Linked DNA regions of Saccharomyces cerevisiae S288C. Changing the gene in region 2 together with the main gene of any one other region gives a genetic interaction. Each region holds a gene or a part of one and is shown on either strand. Other genes may lie near its edges.

Region 1 (5,839 bases), on a different chromosome or scaffold from region 2:
CAAATTTCTTCAAGGCTTCCGGATCGTTACCTTACTCCCAAGCAATAAACGTGAAATCTGTTTTGTATATATATTTGCAGCTTTTTTTCTTTTGTTCTTTTTCTTTTTTTGGAGATGCGTCTTAAAAAGCGCCACAGTTTCAAGGGTCCGGCGGATAATTTGAGCAATGATAGTATGAAATGCCAGATTACTGTGTATTAAATAATACTTCATGAATTTGCGAATGAACCACTTTTTTGAAAGTTTATGGATATAGATGTGCACATGTCGTTTTTTGAGCTTTGGGTGTTTAGAGCGGAAGAGTTGGTGTTGTGAGTTTCAGTTTTATCAATTATTTATGTTTTTCTCTCAGAAGCCATTTTTTTTTGGTTTTATGGTAAAGGCACCCTTTAAAAATAATACTAAATGTTTCTTTGAAAAATACCATACTTACAACTAATTAATTATTATATGATAGTAAACACATATACTTATTTATAACAAAGGGGTAATCAATCTACTTAGCGAAATGTAACCTTTTTAAAAAACCTTACTATCATGTATATTGAGCAACCAATGAACCTTATTAATGCCGATAATGCAACTAACCATAAAATTACATTAAAATAAATTGAGGCCTTACTGGTCATTAAGGGAATTTCCGCCTTCTTTGCAGTTTCTAAAGTGTCATCAGTTGATATGGATTTCATAGCAATATAATCTGCAATCCCACCGGTTTCTAAGACAACAGCAACGATGATGAAATTTGTGATGACCCAAAAGATAATCACGAGAGATCTAACGTTTGCATAATAGCCAGTCTTTTTTTCATCATAAGATGGCTCAGTAGGCCGAGATTCTGATTTTGGATCGAAGTCATTTAAAACTTTCAAATATTTATCGTAGTTTGCTTGAATCTCTGAACTAGAGACCAGAACTTCCATTTTGAACGTACCATCTTCTGTAGTATTAATCTTACCCAGCGGATTTGCCATTGCACCCTTTGTACCCCATGATAAGTCGTGGACATTACAAAATGCATAGATATTCAAAACATTGATGTAAGAAGGACTCAATAAAATATACTGAATAAAACTTGTCAACATATGCCATGGCTGCAAATAGATAATTGAACTGATTAGGTACAAACAATAAGTGGAGCCCAGAGAGATAACAATATCCCTGAAAGCTTCTGTGGTAATCAAACCCTCAAAGCTGATGGTATCGTTTTTCAATATATTTTGGAAGGATTTGACACTCATGAATATACTGCAGAATATCATGTAAATCATCATCACCGCAAAAATGACGCAAGTTAGAACATAAAATTTCTCAGTACTTTTAGGTTTATTACCCAATGACAGTATGAATGTTGATAAGGTACAAATCCCATAAAGCCACAGGAATATGACGGACAACACATTAAATGCTGAATGGTATGCCAGTGCAATAGAAACAGTGAGAATTCTAAAGACTAGGAAAAATGAACTCAATGAAAACCATGAAATCAATGTATTGAAGAAAAGGTAAAAAAATTCAACCGTCAAAAGGAGTTTTCTACCAATATTATGACCACTGCTCCAGACTCTGTAAAAATGACAAAAGGAATATACACTAGCAAAAAATGAACCATTCAACCAACGCCTCCTCTGAAGAATAAATTCAGGGACCCTCTCCGGTACATCTGTTGAAGCATAAGAACTTCTGCAGTATTTCAAAATCCAATTACAATTTTTTTTTGTGACCACTTCAAAGCATAAAATACGATCTTCAGCAAGATACATATTGGAAGAAAAAAAATGAAAACCTTCATTTTCCATAATTTCACCATAAAAGTACTTCTGTAATGGTTGGCCTCTCACAGCTTCAAACCTATACGCAGAGAATGCCCCCGGTAGAACAGTAATAAATCCAAAGTTAGACTCGGTTGTTTTGTCTAAAATATTGGACATTTTGTATTCGAAATTCTGTGATGCAACTAAAGGATTCAAAAGCTTTACAAATCTCTTACCCAAATCAGTTCTTATTTCACCACATGCGCCACCAACATTTGGATTCCTGAACTCTCTCCATAACTGGTAAATAGAATCTTTACCTGGCATGGTACCAGCATCTAACAATGTAACGATATTGGGACGCAGTAATTCTGCAAAGCCTTCAAATGCCCATCTATGTGAGTTAATTTTTTTCTGATTTTGCTCTTTCAAACAAAACAAAAGTTGTATTGGAACGGTACCTTGATTGCATTCTAATGAAACCTCTGATTCCGAAATATTTGTGATGTTGATCATTGTCGTATGTTCGTAGACATGCATTGCCACTTTTTTTTCATTAATTTCATCCTTAGCAAACCCGTCCTGGTAACAACCTAACGAACTTAGTAATGCTAGCGAGCGTTCATTAATTTTGGATCTACCATCTGAAATGATACAAACGACAATCTTTTTCCATGCATCCGGCCCCCAAGTGCTTGAATTTTTTTTTTTCACCATATATTTGACATTGTCCATAATACCTTTCAAAGTTCTTCCTAACAGGATATGGTCTTCATTATACATTGTGACTACTAGCATCAATTCCGTTTCCCTTGGAGTTAAATACTTCAACTGCCTCACCGTGAAATTCTTCTCTGCAAGTTGATTAGGTTCGCAAGTAACTGCTTGATATCTCATAAACTTAAACTCATTTGGTAAAGTGTTTGCATTTTCTGTTGTAGTAGCGTATTGGTCCAATAGCGTCTTACTGATTGGAGAATCGAAAACAAAATTACCATTCCAAAGTTTGAATTTCCTAATTTCAGTACCGCTTCTCTTTAGTGCTCTATTTGCGGTTAAGTTATCATTGCTTACTATTATGTCGGATTCTTTAGATCCGATAGAAGACACCGAGGATGATGCAGGTACACCATTAGCTTGAAACTGTAATTTATCAATAGTGTTGAGATCATCGTACTCGTCATCCCTTGAAAAATCATCCTTGTCATATTCCCCCAAGTCTCTATGAGAGTAACCGCTTTTCACACTGTCTAATTCTTCTTTTCCATCGTTTACGGGTCTGCTATCATCATGAAGATATTCTCTACGCTCCATAGGAGTCATATGTCTTAAACTGTTTTCATAATCGTAAGGATCAACCATTTCACCGTTTCTACCCAAATATGAATTAATCTGATAGTCATCTCCTCTCTGATCAATATAACCACCCTCCGGATCGTCATAGTAATCTTTTGCCTGTAGGCCATGGTAACCATTGTTGTATCCAAAAGGTTGGTCATGGTATTGAGGAATATTACCGCTATTCATGTTATTGTTGGGTTGCTCCAAAATGGGCCTAGCTTCCTGATCTGCATAACCATCGCTACTAGAAGCAATACTCGGTGACGTCCTAGAGTTCCTGTTATTATAATAGTAGTCGTTTTCGTTAAAGAAGGGCCTTTCGATGGGGGTGGCCATAGTCTGTGAGCCGTTATGTATGAGTTCTGGAGTGGTTTGAATCACATTTATCGAAGGAAGTGGATATGAAGGTACGTTATTGTATTGATGTTCCGACGGTAGCTGTTGACTATTCGTATTAAAAACGTCATTGTATTCTGCAGTTGCTGGTGGGGGACGCTGGCGATGGTGGTTGACAAAACCTCCATATATGTCTCGTTCGTTATCATTGATAGTATTATTATTGCCATCGTCACCGTTATAAAGCATATTTGTTTGCTGAGATTGTTCTGGAAATTGCAAAGATTGGACTGGAGTGAATGAACCCATGCTGGCATTTTGATTGGTATATCTTTGGTTCCTGTTTGTTAATTCTTCATTAGAAGAGTGAAATAGCCCGCTATGTGCATTTTGGAGTTCATAGGAAGGTTCATTCTTCCGGTTTGAGTGATATTCATTTCTCGATCGATTATTTTGATCACTCATTGTATAGTTTTTTTGGTTTGGCTTCCCAGTATTAATTTAGTGACTCTTCGAGGAAGGAAAGAAGAGAGAAGAAGAAGAAGAAATGTATACTGCGTATTTAAACAAGCAGTACTGCAAGGTCCGGTAGGCCTCAAAATGTAAGTGTTCTGATCCTTTGGAGTACCGACGTAAAAAATGAACCCGAGATATATATTAAAATCAATAATTTGTAACAAATATTATACCTAGTTTGGCCAAGAAAATCAAATTTCACACTAATGGCTGTGTCGCGTCATTATCGCGTTACCAAGCCACGCGATTTCTAAAAAAAGACTGCTGGGCCCCGTCTCGGCTTTGTTTCAGAGGTAATGTATGTTTCCTGCATGTATTTACTTGTATCAAATTTCGTTTCACCAAGGGTTCTTGTAGCATATGCGCAACGAATTATCTTCTACTTATGTATATGTACGTAATTTCACTACCGATAGTGGCTATAAAAAGGGTGTTCTGGTGGCATATCGAACGTCATTGCGGTAGGCGAAGCAGAAGTACCGTCATCCTCATTTGACTTCTGTTCCAGCCTCTGTAAGAAAAGTAGTCTTTCCTTGGCTTGATTATGGATATAGTTCCTCTTCAGTTTATCAATAATCGTTTCTTGTAACCCGCACTGTTTTGATGAGATAGCGACAGCATTATTCAGAAAAACGTTAGCGTTTTTCATCAATATGTTTAAAGTATGCGCTCCCCCGGGGGTTTTTTGTGACTTTTCAGTTGATTCTTTTATAGCGTACCTTCTCAGTTCATTATCGGAGGAATTTACTAAGACATCACAAAGTTGAAAAACTACGTGACTCAATTGTTCGTTCAATGTCTGATTTTTCAGAAACAAGATTTGATTTCTATAGTCTGTTAATAAAGTTCTAGCCTCTGTAAGAACTTTGGTCAATAACCCAGAGAGTTTCCAAGATGCATCTGAAGAATAATCGTTTAAACATAGAATGGCAAATTCAACGATATCAACTCTAATCAACGAAAGATCAATCTTACCCTGTACATCTTTTTCATCAAGCAGATCGGTAAAGGAGACGGTTTGCAGAACAAAATCTTGCAATGACTCGAAGGTTCCGGAGCTAATGATGTTCAAACCTTCAATTAAAGTCTTGGCTAAACCGATTTCCTTCAAATCTAATGGAATGGCGGCGGAAATGGAGTCTATAATGTCGCGTAGTTGTAAATAGAATTTATTGGTTGTATCTTCCAAGAAATTAATCTGAATAGGATTCAAGATTTTCGTTTCGACATTTTTTTCAATAGATATTTTCGACTCAATAACCAATTCCATCAAAGCATGGTTGAACTTTAAAGAGTTGGCGAGTACTTCGGTAAGTGAAGACGGAGTCACTTGTTCAGAAACGTCCATAACTTCTGCTGGAGGTTGTACAGGTCCATTGGTTCGGATACCACTTCCGTCCCTGGTAACTTGCATCGCGTCTTCATCCAAAGTATCTCTTTGCAATTCCGTATCTGTGTCATCGGAATCTTGTTCTGCATTTTCACTCCAGTTTTGTAGTTCTTGTAACAGATAATTAACCAGGTGTTGAAAGATTTCAATATACTTGTTTGTCAAAGTTAAAATGTCTGCACCTTCCATTGCAACGGTGGGCGAAACGGTGTCGTCTAGGGACTCTATGAGAGTCAAATAACATGTCAATAGATTGAATTGAAGATCCCAAGTTCTCTGTTCTGGGAAAGTCTCATAAACAATTTCAAACCGTTGGATAATCTGTGGCAGAGATAACACCAAATTGGAAAGATCAGGCATATCATCCATTTTCACGTATTGCAAGATATTAATGTAGCCGTTATTGGCCAGATAATCTGTATAAATTTGCAAAAAAAGCCTTGTTTCATTATAATAGATATTATATTTCCCTTCCTGCGTGGAATCTAAAGCAGTCAGACCA
Region 2 (3,830 bases):
TCCATCTTTAAGTGTTTTGGTAAGAAACTCGAAATTTTAAAACTTTCAATCCCCAAATAATAGAAATTCCTAACAGCAGTAAACCTCCAAAGTAGCCTTAAGGTAGCTTGAAAACTACTCGTATTGTATATCAAGCCGGTAATAATAAAAAATCTAGTATAAGTTCCCGGTGATATGTATCTCATGATAATAATTTGAAAAATTGTACCGAATAAGAATAATCTGCAAAACAACCTCTTGCCAGAACACTCCTTATTGACGCCATCAAATGAAAGCTTTAATTTTTTCCAAACATTCAGCTCGTTTCTCAGTACTTCCAGTTTATCCAACACAGACTCTAGTAGCACGACAATTTCATCCAATGTAGGAGGTTCCGTGTCTCTTAACGAAGCTATCAATGAAACAATATAATACATGAATGATAAGAATAGAAATGCCCCGCTTATAATGCCTAACCATAGTCTCAAAATCTTTGTAAATGGCAGAAAATGGCTAGCCTCTGTTTCAACGGGGATAAAAAAACTTATGGTCAGCCATATGCTCGTTAGATAAATGAATGTTAAACATTTATCGTCGGACAGCCACATTATATTCGCTAAGGCATTGTCGAATATTAGTAGTAGTGGATATGCGTGAAACAGAGTGCTGGAAATCATTGGAGGTGTAATTTGGATAAGAGAGGGCTTTTGCCCATGATTATGTATAAATTTCGCCTTAATTTTTTTATTTTCAGTTTGTACTTTGGTTTTAGAATTTGTGTCCATTTCTTTCCTTGAAATTAGCAAAATGATGTCCACTGAACTAAATTAAGATCAATGAAAGAAAAGAGAAAGTATGAAGTAGTTTCGAGTGATTGCACCTTCTTCATCAATTCTGTTTACCCTTGCAGTTGGTGTTCCAGTAATTCTTGGAAATAAGCATAAAAGGGTATTTGTTTCGGGGATAATTTCTTTACTTCCCCACCAGGCTGTTGAATTGAATATGAAAATGGTATGACAACAATAATGTCTAAAATTCCCAAATCAATTTGGTAAAAATCTGTCCAGCTCAATATGGTTGAATAATCATGAGAAGTACATCAATAGTCTTCTCATGTCATTTCGAAAAAATGTTTTTTCTTCATTTTTTTCCTGCGATTGTTTGACCATTTGTTTAATTTCACTCTCTGTAAAGAGCTACTTAACTATTCAGAAATAAGCAATAAGATTGACGGTCAAAGAAGAAAAGAGAACTCTGCACCCAGGATGGCACTCAAAAAGAATACACACAACAAATCTACCAAACGAGTAACGAAACACCCATCTTTGAAAACTCTAACGCATAAGCAAATACACACAACAATTTTCGTTAAGTCTACAACACCATACGTTAGTGCACTGAAAAGAATAAATAAGTTTCTCGATAGCGTTCATAAGCAAGGATCATCCTATGTTGCGGTTTTGGGTATGGGTAAAGCTGTAGAAAAGACACTGGCATTAGGTTGTCATTTTCAAGATCAGAAGAACAAGAAAATAGAGGTTTACACTAAAACTATAGAAGTTCTTGATGAAGTAATAACTGAAGGCCAAGCTGATATCGACATGGAAAGTGATGTTGAAGATGACGATAAAGAAACCCAACTAAAGAAAAGGGCTGTAAGCGGTGTAGAATTGCGTATTTATGTTTAATATGTCATACTTTTAGCGCTCATTGTTATTGTATACTATTTATAGCTAACAGTTTATTATTAGATTTCCTCTAATAAGCGTTATACCAGTGTAGTAAGTTTATCACTTCAGCTATGTGTCATTTTTTTTTTTTTTTTTTGAGGCCTTATATGAAAATAAGCTTTGAAGAAAGTGATACTGGAATTATTCAAACCAAGAAAAGTTTTTAGAATTACAAGAATACCGTAGCACTTGAAGGAAAGAGGACAGCATATCCACTTGATAAACATGGTATCAGAGGATAAGATTGAGCAATGGAAAGCCACAAAAGTCATTGGTATAATTGGTCTGGGTGATATGGGCCTATTATACGCTAATAAATTTACAGATGCTGGATGGGGTGTTATATGTTGTGATAGGGAAGAATATTATGATGAACTGAAAGAAAAATATGCCTCAGCTAAATTCGAACTGGTGAAAAATGGTCATTTGGTATCCAGGCAAAGCGACTATATTATCTATAGTGTTGAAGCATCCAATATTAGTAAGATCGTCGCAACGTATGGACCATCTTCTAAGGTTGGAACAATTGTTGGGGGTCAAACGAGTTGTAAGCTGCCGGAAATCGAGGCTTTCGAAAAGTATTTACCCAAGGACTGCGACATCATTACCGTGCATTCCCTTCATGGGCCTAAAGTTAATACTGAAGGCCAACCACTAGTTATTATCAATCACAGATCACAGTACCCAGAATCTTTTGAGTTCGTTAATTCTGTTATGGCATGTTTGAAAAGTAAGCAAGTTTATTTGACATATGAAGAGCATGACAAGATTACCGCTGATACACAAGCTGTGACACATGCTGCTTTCTTAAGTATGGGATCTGCGTGGGCAAAGATAAAGATTTATCCTTGGACTCTGGGTGTAAACAAATGGTACGGTGGCCTAGAAAATGTGAAAGTTAATATATCACTAAGAATCTATTCGAACAAGTGGCATGTTTACGCAGGATTAGCCATAACAAACCCAAGTGCACATCAGCAAATTCTTCAATATGCAACCAGTGCAACAGAACTATTTAGTTTAATGATAGATAACAAAGAACAAGAACTTACTGATAGACTATTAAAAGCTAAGCAATTTGTATTTGGAAAGCATACTGGTCTCTTACTATTGGATGACACGATTTTAGAGAAATATTCGCTATCAAAAAGCAGCATTGGTAACAGCAACAATTGCAAGCCAGTGCCGAATTCACATTTATCATTGTTGGCGATTGTTGATTCGTGGTTTCAACTTGGTATTGATCCATATGATCATATGATTTGTTCGACGCCATTATTCAGAATATTCCTGGGTGTGTCCGAATATCTTTTTTTAAAACCTGGCTTATTAGAACAGACAATTGATGCAGCTATCCATGATAAATCATTCATAAAAGATGATTTAGAATTTGTTATTTCGGCTAGAGAATGGAGCTCGGTTGTTTCTTTTGCCAATTTTGATATATACAAAAAGCAATTTCAGAGTGTTCAAAAGTTCTTTGAGCCAATGCTTCCAGAGGCTAATCTCATTGGCAACGAGATGATAAAAACCATTCTGAGTCATTCTAGTGACCGTTCGGCCGCTGAAAAAAGAAATACATAATGTTTTTAATGCTGATTTCCTATAATATTAGGCCTTCTTTTGTGAAAAGGAGTATATTTATATAACTGAATAAAAATATATATTGTGACAAATGCCCATGCAAAAAATCGTGAAAAAAGGAAGAAAGTTCTACTATTCTATGTAAAAATAAACCCATTAGATTTTTTTCCTCTTTGTGTAATGCTCACTACCGCGATTATCGTTCGTTTCATCTGGACATGCCAACGTTCTTGACCTTTTAGAACTTACGACCGGATGAATACTGTCATCATCACATGCAAGTAAGTTTTTGGTCATAAAGTCGATAGCATTGTAGTCATGTGTCCTTTTGTTAACGTTATTATTGTTGAGAGTAGATAACATACTAGACTTTCCTATGCTGCTGTTAGTATAAGGGTTCTTGCTGTTGTCTTGTGCGTGAAAGGTGTGGCTTTGAGCATTGTAAGAGGACATAAATTCATTGACACTGCCACCATTACTATTGCTGATATTATGATTTTTGGAATAGCTCTTTACTATAGAGTAATCACCTGGTTG
Region 3 (5,643 bases), on a different chromosome or scaffold from region 2:
AATAGCAATGGTGCGTTGTTAGTAACGTGGTTTTTAGATACTAGTGTTTTACCCAACAGACATTCTATCTTGGCACCAAGATTGACGAAAAGAATTGTAGAGTTATGTGGCCACAGATTGGCTTCTTTGACTATTTTGAAGGTCTTGAATTACAGAGGGGATGATAACGCTAGAAAAATCATCCTAGATTCCCTATTTGGAAACGTGAACGCACACGATTCTTCGCCACCAAAGGAATTAACAAAGCTTTTATGTGAAACAAATTATGGCCCAACCTTTGTCCATAAAGTTTTAGCAATGCCATTATTAGAAGATGACTTAAGAGCCCACATCATTAAACAAGTCAGAAAAGTATTGACGGATTCTACTCAAATCCAACCAAGCCGCCGTTTATTGGAAGAAGTCGGGTTGGCATCACCCTCTAGTACTCATAACAAGACAAAACAACAACAGCAGCAGCATCATAACAGCAGCATTTCGCACATGTTCGCCACTCCTGATACTTCTGGACAACACATGAGAGGTCTTTCTGTTTCTAGCGTTAAAAGTGGTGGATCTAAACATACCACAATGAACACCACGACTACAAATGGTTCTTCTGCCTCTACATTATCCCCGGGCCAACCATTGAATGCCAATTCTAATTCTTCAATGGGCTATTTTAGTTATCCTGGCGTCTTCCCTGTCAGCGGCTTTTCAGGCAACGCCAGTAATGGATATGCTATGAACAACGATGACTTAAGTTCCCAGTTTGATATGCTAAACTTTAATAACGGAACCCGTTTATCGTTGCCACAACTGAGCCTAACTAACCATAACAACACTACTATGGAATTAGTAAACAATGTTGGCTCCTCACAACCTCATACGAACAACAACAACAATAATAACAACACGAACTATAACGACGATAACACCGTTTTTGAAACTCTGACTTTACACTCTGCAAACTGACGTCCCCATGTTTTCTTTTATTTCCGTCATCATTGGGAGACCACGCCGTTTTCTTCTCATACCTGCATCCATTCAAAACTATCTCATTTACCCCCAACGGTTTTATGGTTCAAATCCTAATAGAATATGAGCGAGCTAATGAAGAATTTGGGCATTTTCATTACTGGGAAGACGTGTCTTTTTCAAGCCATCATATCGCCAAATTTTTTTTCTACACCTAATCATGATTAAATAAATCCATAAAGTTTTATACAGTTTTTAAAAATATCATCATTTATTACCCAGATGTGTTAATGAACATTTATAGTCATCATTACTAGGCTTTCATTACTACTGAGGTTACCCGCCTATGGACCTTCCTTGGTAAAGGAACTTGTTTTAAAATTTGCCTTTTAACAAATTTAGTGATATGATTATCAAAAAAGGCGTGGCAAAATACATAACACCAAATTTAACTGTGCCTGTGTGTTACTTTCTTTTGTCCATACTTCACCAGTTTTTCGATTTTACACAATAATTCGTTTTCATTTAATCGTTCTCTTAGAAGCCCGGTTTTTGAATATCAAAATCGTACTTGTGTCCAACTAGCAGGGAAGCCCAAAAATTAAGGCATTGCATTTAAGCTTACACCTGCGTGAAATCTTGAAATTTCTCATTGATTTCGGCACAATAATTATCATTGGTAGTGAGGCTAAACAGTTTTGCGGTTTCCTTTATACTAAGAAGGTCTATAATGGATCAGGATAACAACAACCACAATGACAGCAATAGGCTGCACCCACCTGATATACATCCAAATTTGGGCCCTCAATTGTGGCTGAATAGTAGCGGTGATTTTGACGACAACAACAACAACAACAACAACAACAACAATAATAATAGCACAAGACCACAAATGCCATCACGAACTAGAGAAACGGCAACTTCGGAAAGAAATGCAAGTGAGGTTAGGGATGCAACGCTAAATAATATCTTTAGGTTCGATAGTATTCAACGGGAAACGCTTTTGCCAACCAACAACGGACAACCGCTAAATCAAAACTTTTCGCTGACATTTCAACCACAACAGCAAACAAATGCGCTGAACGGGATTGACATAAACACTGTGAACACAAACCTTATGAATGGTGTCAATGTTCAAATAGATCAACTTAATCGATTGTTACCGAACCTACCAGAGGAAGAACGGAAGCAAATCCACGAATTCAAGCTAATAGTGGGCAAAAAAATCCAAGAGTTTCTGGTTGTTATAGAGAAACGTAGAAAAAAAATACTGAACGAAATTGAGCTAGACAACCTTAAACTAAAGGAGCTACGTATTGATAACTCCCCACAAGCAATTAGTTATTTGCATAAATTACAAAGAATGAGGCTTAGGGCGCTAGAGACAGAAAACATGGAAATTAGAAATTTAAGGCTAAAAATATTAACAATTATAGAAGAGTACAAAAAGTCATTATATGCATACTGCCATTCCAAGCTAAGAGGTCAACAAGTGGAAAATCCAACAGATAATTTCATCATTTGGATAAACTCCATAGATACTACTGAATCATCTGACTTGAAAGAAGGGCTACAAGATCTTTCGAGATATTCAAGGCAGTTCATAAATAATGTGCTTTCGAATCCATCAAATCAAAACATATGTACGAGTGTCACCCGAAGATCACCTGTGTTTGCCCTAAACATGCTACCCTCGGAAATATTACACTTAATATTAGATAAACTTAACCAAAAATATGATATTGTAAAATTCCTTACCGTTTCCAAACTCTGGGCTGAAATAATTGTGAAGATACTTTATTACAGACCGCACATCAACAAAAAGAGTCAATTAGACTTGTTTTTAAGGACTATGAAGTTAACTTCTGAAGAAACTGTATTCAACTATCGTTTAATGATCAAAAGATTAAATTTTTCATTTGTTGGTGACTACATGCACGATACAGAGCTTAACTATTTTGTCGGATGTAAGAATTTGGAGCGACTAACTTTAGTATTTTGCAAGCATATAACCAGTGTTCCAATATCGGCTGTTTTGAGAGGATGTAAATTTCTCCAAAGTGTGGATATCACTGGAATAAGAGACGTTTCCGATGACGTATTTGATACCTTAGCGACATATTGTCCCAGAGTACAGGGCTTTTATGTTCCTCAGGCAAGGAATGTAACATTCGATTCACTGCGGAATTTCATAGTCCATTCCCCGATGTTGAAAAGAATAAAAATCACAGCAAACAATAACATGAATGACGAATTAGTAGAACTATTAGCCAACAAATGCCCTTTGCTTGTAGAGGTCGATATAACATTAAGTCCAAATGTCACTGATTCTAGTTTGTTAAAACTCCTCACTAGGTTAGTTCAGCTGAGGGAATTCAGAATAACTCATAATACGAATATTACGGATAATCTTTTCCAGGAGCTTTCTAAAGTAGTTGACGATATGCCCTCTTTAAGATTGATTGATCTTTCTGGATGTGAAAATATTACAGATAAAACTATAGAAAGTATAGTCAATTTAGCCCCTAAATTACGTAATGTTTTTCTAGGCAAGTGTAGCCGAATTACAGATGCATCGTTGTTCCAATTATCGAAGCTGGGCAAAAACTTGCAAACAGTGCATTTTGGGCACTGTTTCAATATAACTGATAACGGGGTAAGAGCACTCTTTCATTCATGTACAAGAATACAGTATGTGGACTTTGCGTGCTGTACGAATTTAACCAATAGAACTCTTTATGAACTAGCAGACTTACCAAAATTAAAGAGAATTGGCCTTGTCAAATGTACGCAAATGACTGACGAGGGTTTGTTGAATATGGTTTCCTTGCGAGGCCGAAATGATACTTTAGAAAGGGTACATTTATCTTACTGTTCTAATTTAACAATATATCCGATATATGAGCTTCTAATGTCTTGCCCAAGGCTCTCACATTTGTCTTTGACTGCTGTTCCGTCATTTTTACGCCCCGATATAACGATGTATTGCAGGCCTGCACCCTCAGACTTTAGTGAAAATCAACGTCAAATATTCTGCGTATTTTCAGGGAAAGGTGTTCATAAACTTCGCCATTATTTAGTAAATTTAACGTCGCCCGCTTTTGGACCACATGTCGATGTAAATGATGTTTTGACAAAATATATTAGATCCAAGAATTTGATATTTAACGGTGAAACACTTGAAGATGCTCTTAGGAGAATCATAACTGATTTAAATCAAGATTCCGCTGCAATTATAGCTGCTACAGGATTAAATCAAATCAACGGTCTAAATAACGATTTTCTTTTCCAGAATATCAATTTTGAACGAATAGATGAAGTATTCAGTTGGTATCTCAATACTTTTGATGGCATTAGGATGAGCTCGGAGGAAGTTAACTCACTATTATTGCAAGTAAACAAGACGTTTTGTGAAGATCCATTTAGTGATGTGGACGATGATCAAGATTATGTCGTAGCACCTGGTGTAAACCGGGAAATTAACAGTGAAATGTGTCATATTGTTAGAAAATTCCATGAGTTAAATGATCATATTGATGATTTCGAGGTGAATGTTGCTAGTTTGGTAAGAGTTCAGTTTCAGTTTACTGGTTTTTTACTTCATGAAATGACTCAAACCTATATGCAAATGATTGAATTAAACAGACAAATTTGTTTAGTACAAAAAACGGTTCAGGAATCGGGCAACATAGATTACCAAAAAGGGCTTTTAATATGGCGACTTTTATTCATTGACAAATTCATTATGGTGGTTCAGAAGTACAAGCTCTCCACCGTTGTTTTGAGACTATATTTAAAAGATAACATAACATTGTTAACCAGACAAAGAGAACTATTAATAGCCCACCAAAGATCAGCATGGAATAACAATAATGACAATGACGCCAACCGGAACGCCAACAACATAGTGAATATTGTATCGGATGCTGGGGCAAACGATACAAGTAACAATGAAACTAACAATGGTAATGATGACAATGAAACAGAAAATCCAAATTTCTGGCGTCAGTTTGGCAATAGAATGCAAATATCACCTGACCAGATGAGGAATCTCCAAATGGGACTTCGTAATCAGAACATGGTTAGGAACAATAACAACAACACAATTGACGAATCAATGCCTGACACTGCCATTGATTCTCAAATGGATGAAGCATCAGGAACGCCCGATGAAGATATGTTATAATTGTATTTCATTGAATACTTACTGTCCTACTACACCTTTATTTTCAAAATCCCACTTTTCTTACTTATTTACATATAAATACATAATGCATTCACTTTGAAACTTTTTGCCTTAGCATGTATACGCTATAGACTTGCGGTATCAACGAATATACGTAACGTTGTCACGTCCACAGAAGATGCTATGTCAACAGTTCCCTGCAGATATCTGCGATGCGGCGAAACATTCTATACACAGTTTCAAAACTACAAAAAATACAAACCTTTAGCCTGTTTATCAAATTAGTTAGCTATAAAATGCCCATTTTCTTAGCAATATCGATCAATTGATTGTCATCTTCCAAAGTTTCAATAAAATTTGTGGCAGTATAGTAATCCCTTCTCAATATGTCCAATTTCTTATCACAGTCATCTATAAATTCGCGCTTAATAGATTGCACTTTTAGGTTCACCCAATTGTTGAATGTCATGTCCAACTCTTCTGCAGGCATTTGCTTAATC

What was found. A genetic interaction does not mean that the proteins touch.
Region 1: mutations in TYR1 (region 2) and CHS1 impair growth when combined (synthetic growth defect), as found in Saccharomyces cerevisiae (2 studies listed by BioGRID).
Region 3: mutations in TYR1 (region 2) and GRR1 are lethal when combined (synthetic lethality), as found in Saccharomyces cerevisiae (one study listed by BioGRID).

The regions. Positions count from the first base shown.
Region 1 is NC_001146.8:274,559-280,397, reverse strand, and holds CHS1 (chitin synthase CHS1), read right to left. Parts: upstream 3,897-5,839; coding exon 501-3,896; downstream 1-500. Other genes in the region: YNL193W (uncharacterized protein), read right to left, coding at 4,354-5,839. UniProt on the Saccharomyces cerevisiae protein: Polymerizes chitin, a structural polymer of the cell wall and septum, by transferring the sugar moiety of UDP-GlcNAc to the non-reducing end of the growing chitin polymer. Required for mitotic division septum formation during adverse conditions.
Region 2 is NC_001134.8:569,305-573,134, reverse strand, and holds TYR1 (prephenate dehydrogenase (NADP(+))), read left to right. Parts: upstream 1-1,934; coding exon 1,935-3,293; downstream 3,294-3,830. Other genes in the region: PEX32 (Pex32p), read right to left, coding at 1-764; ribonuclease P/MRP protein subunit POP7, read left to right, coding at 1,245-1,667; UBS1 (Ubs1p), read right to left, coding at 3,450-3,830.
Region 3 is NC_001142.9:590,372-596,014, reverse strand, and holds GRR1 (SCF ubiquitin ligase complex subunit GRR1), read left to right. Parts: upstream 1-1,687; coding exon 1,688-5,143; downstream 5,144-5,643. Other genes in the region: JSN1 (Jsn1p), read left to right, coding at 1-954; BIR1 (survivin), read right to left, coding at 5,433-5,643. UniProt on the Saccharomyces cerevisiae protein: Substrate recognition component of a SCF (SKP1-CUL1-F-box protein) E3 ubiquitin-protein ligase complex which mediates the ubiquitination and subsequent proteasomal degradation of target proteins.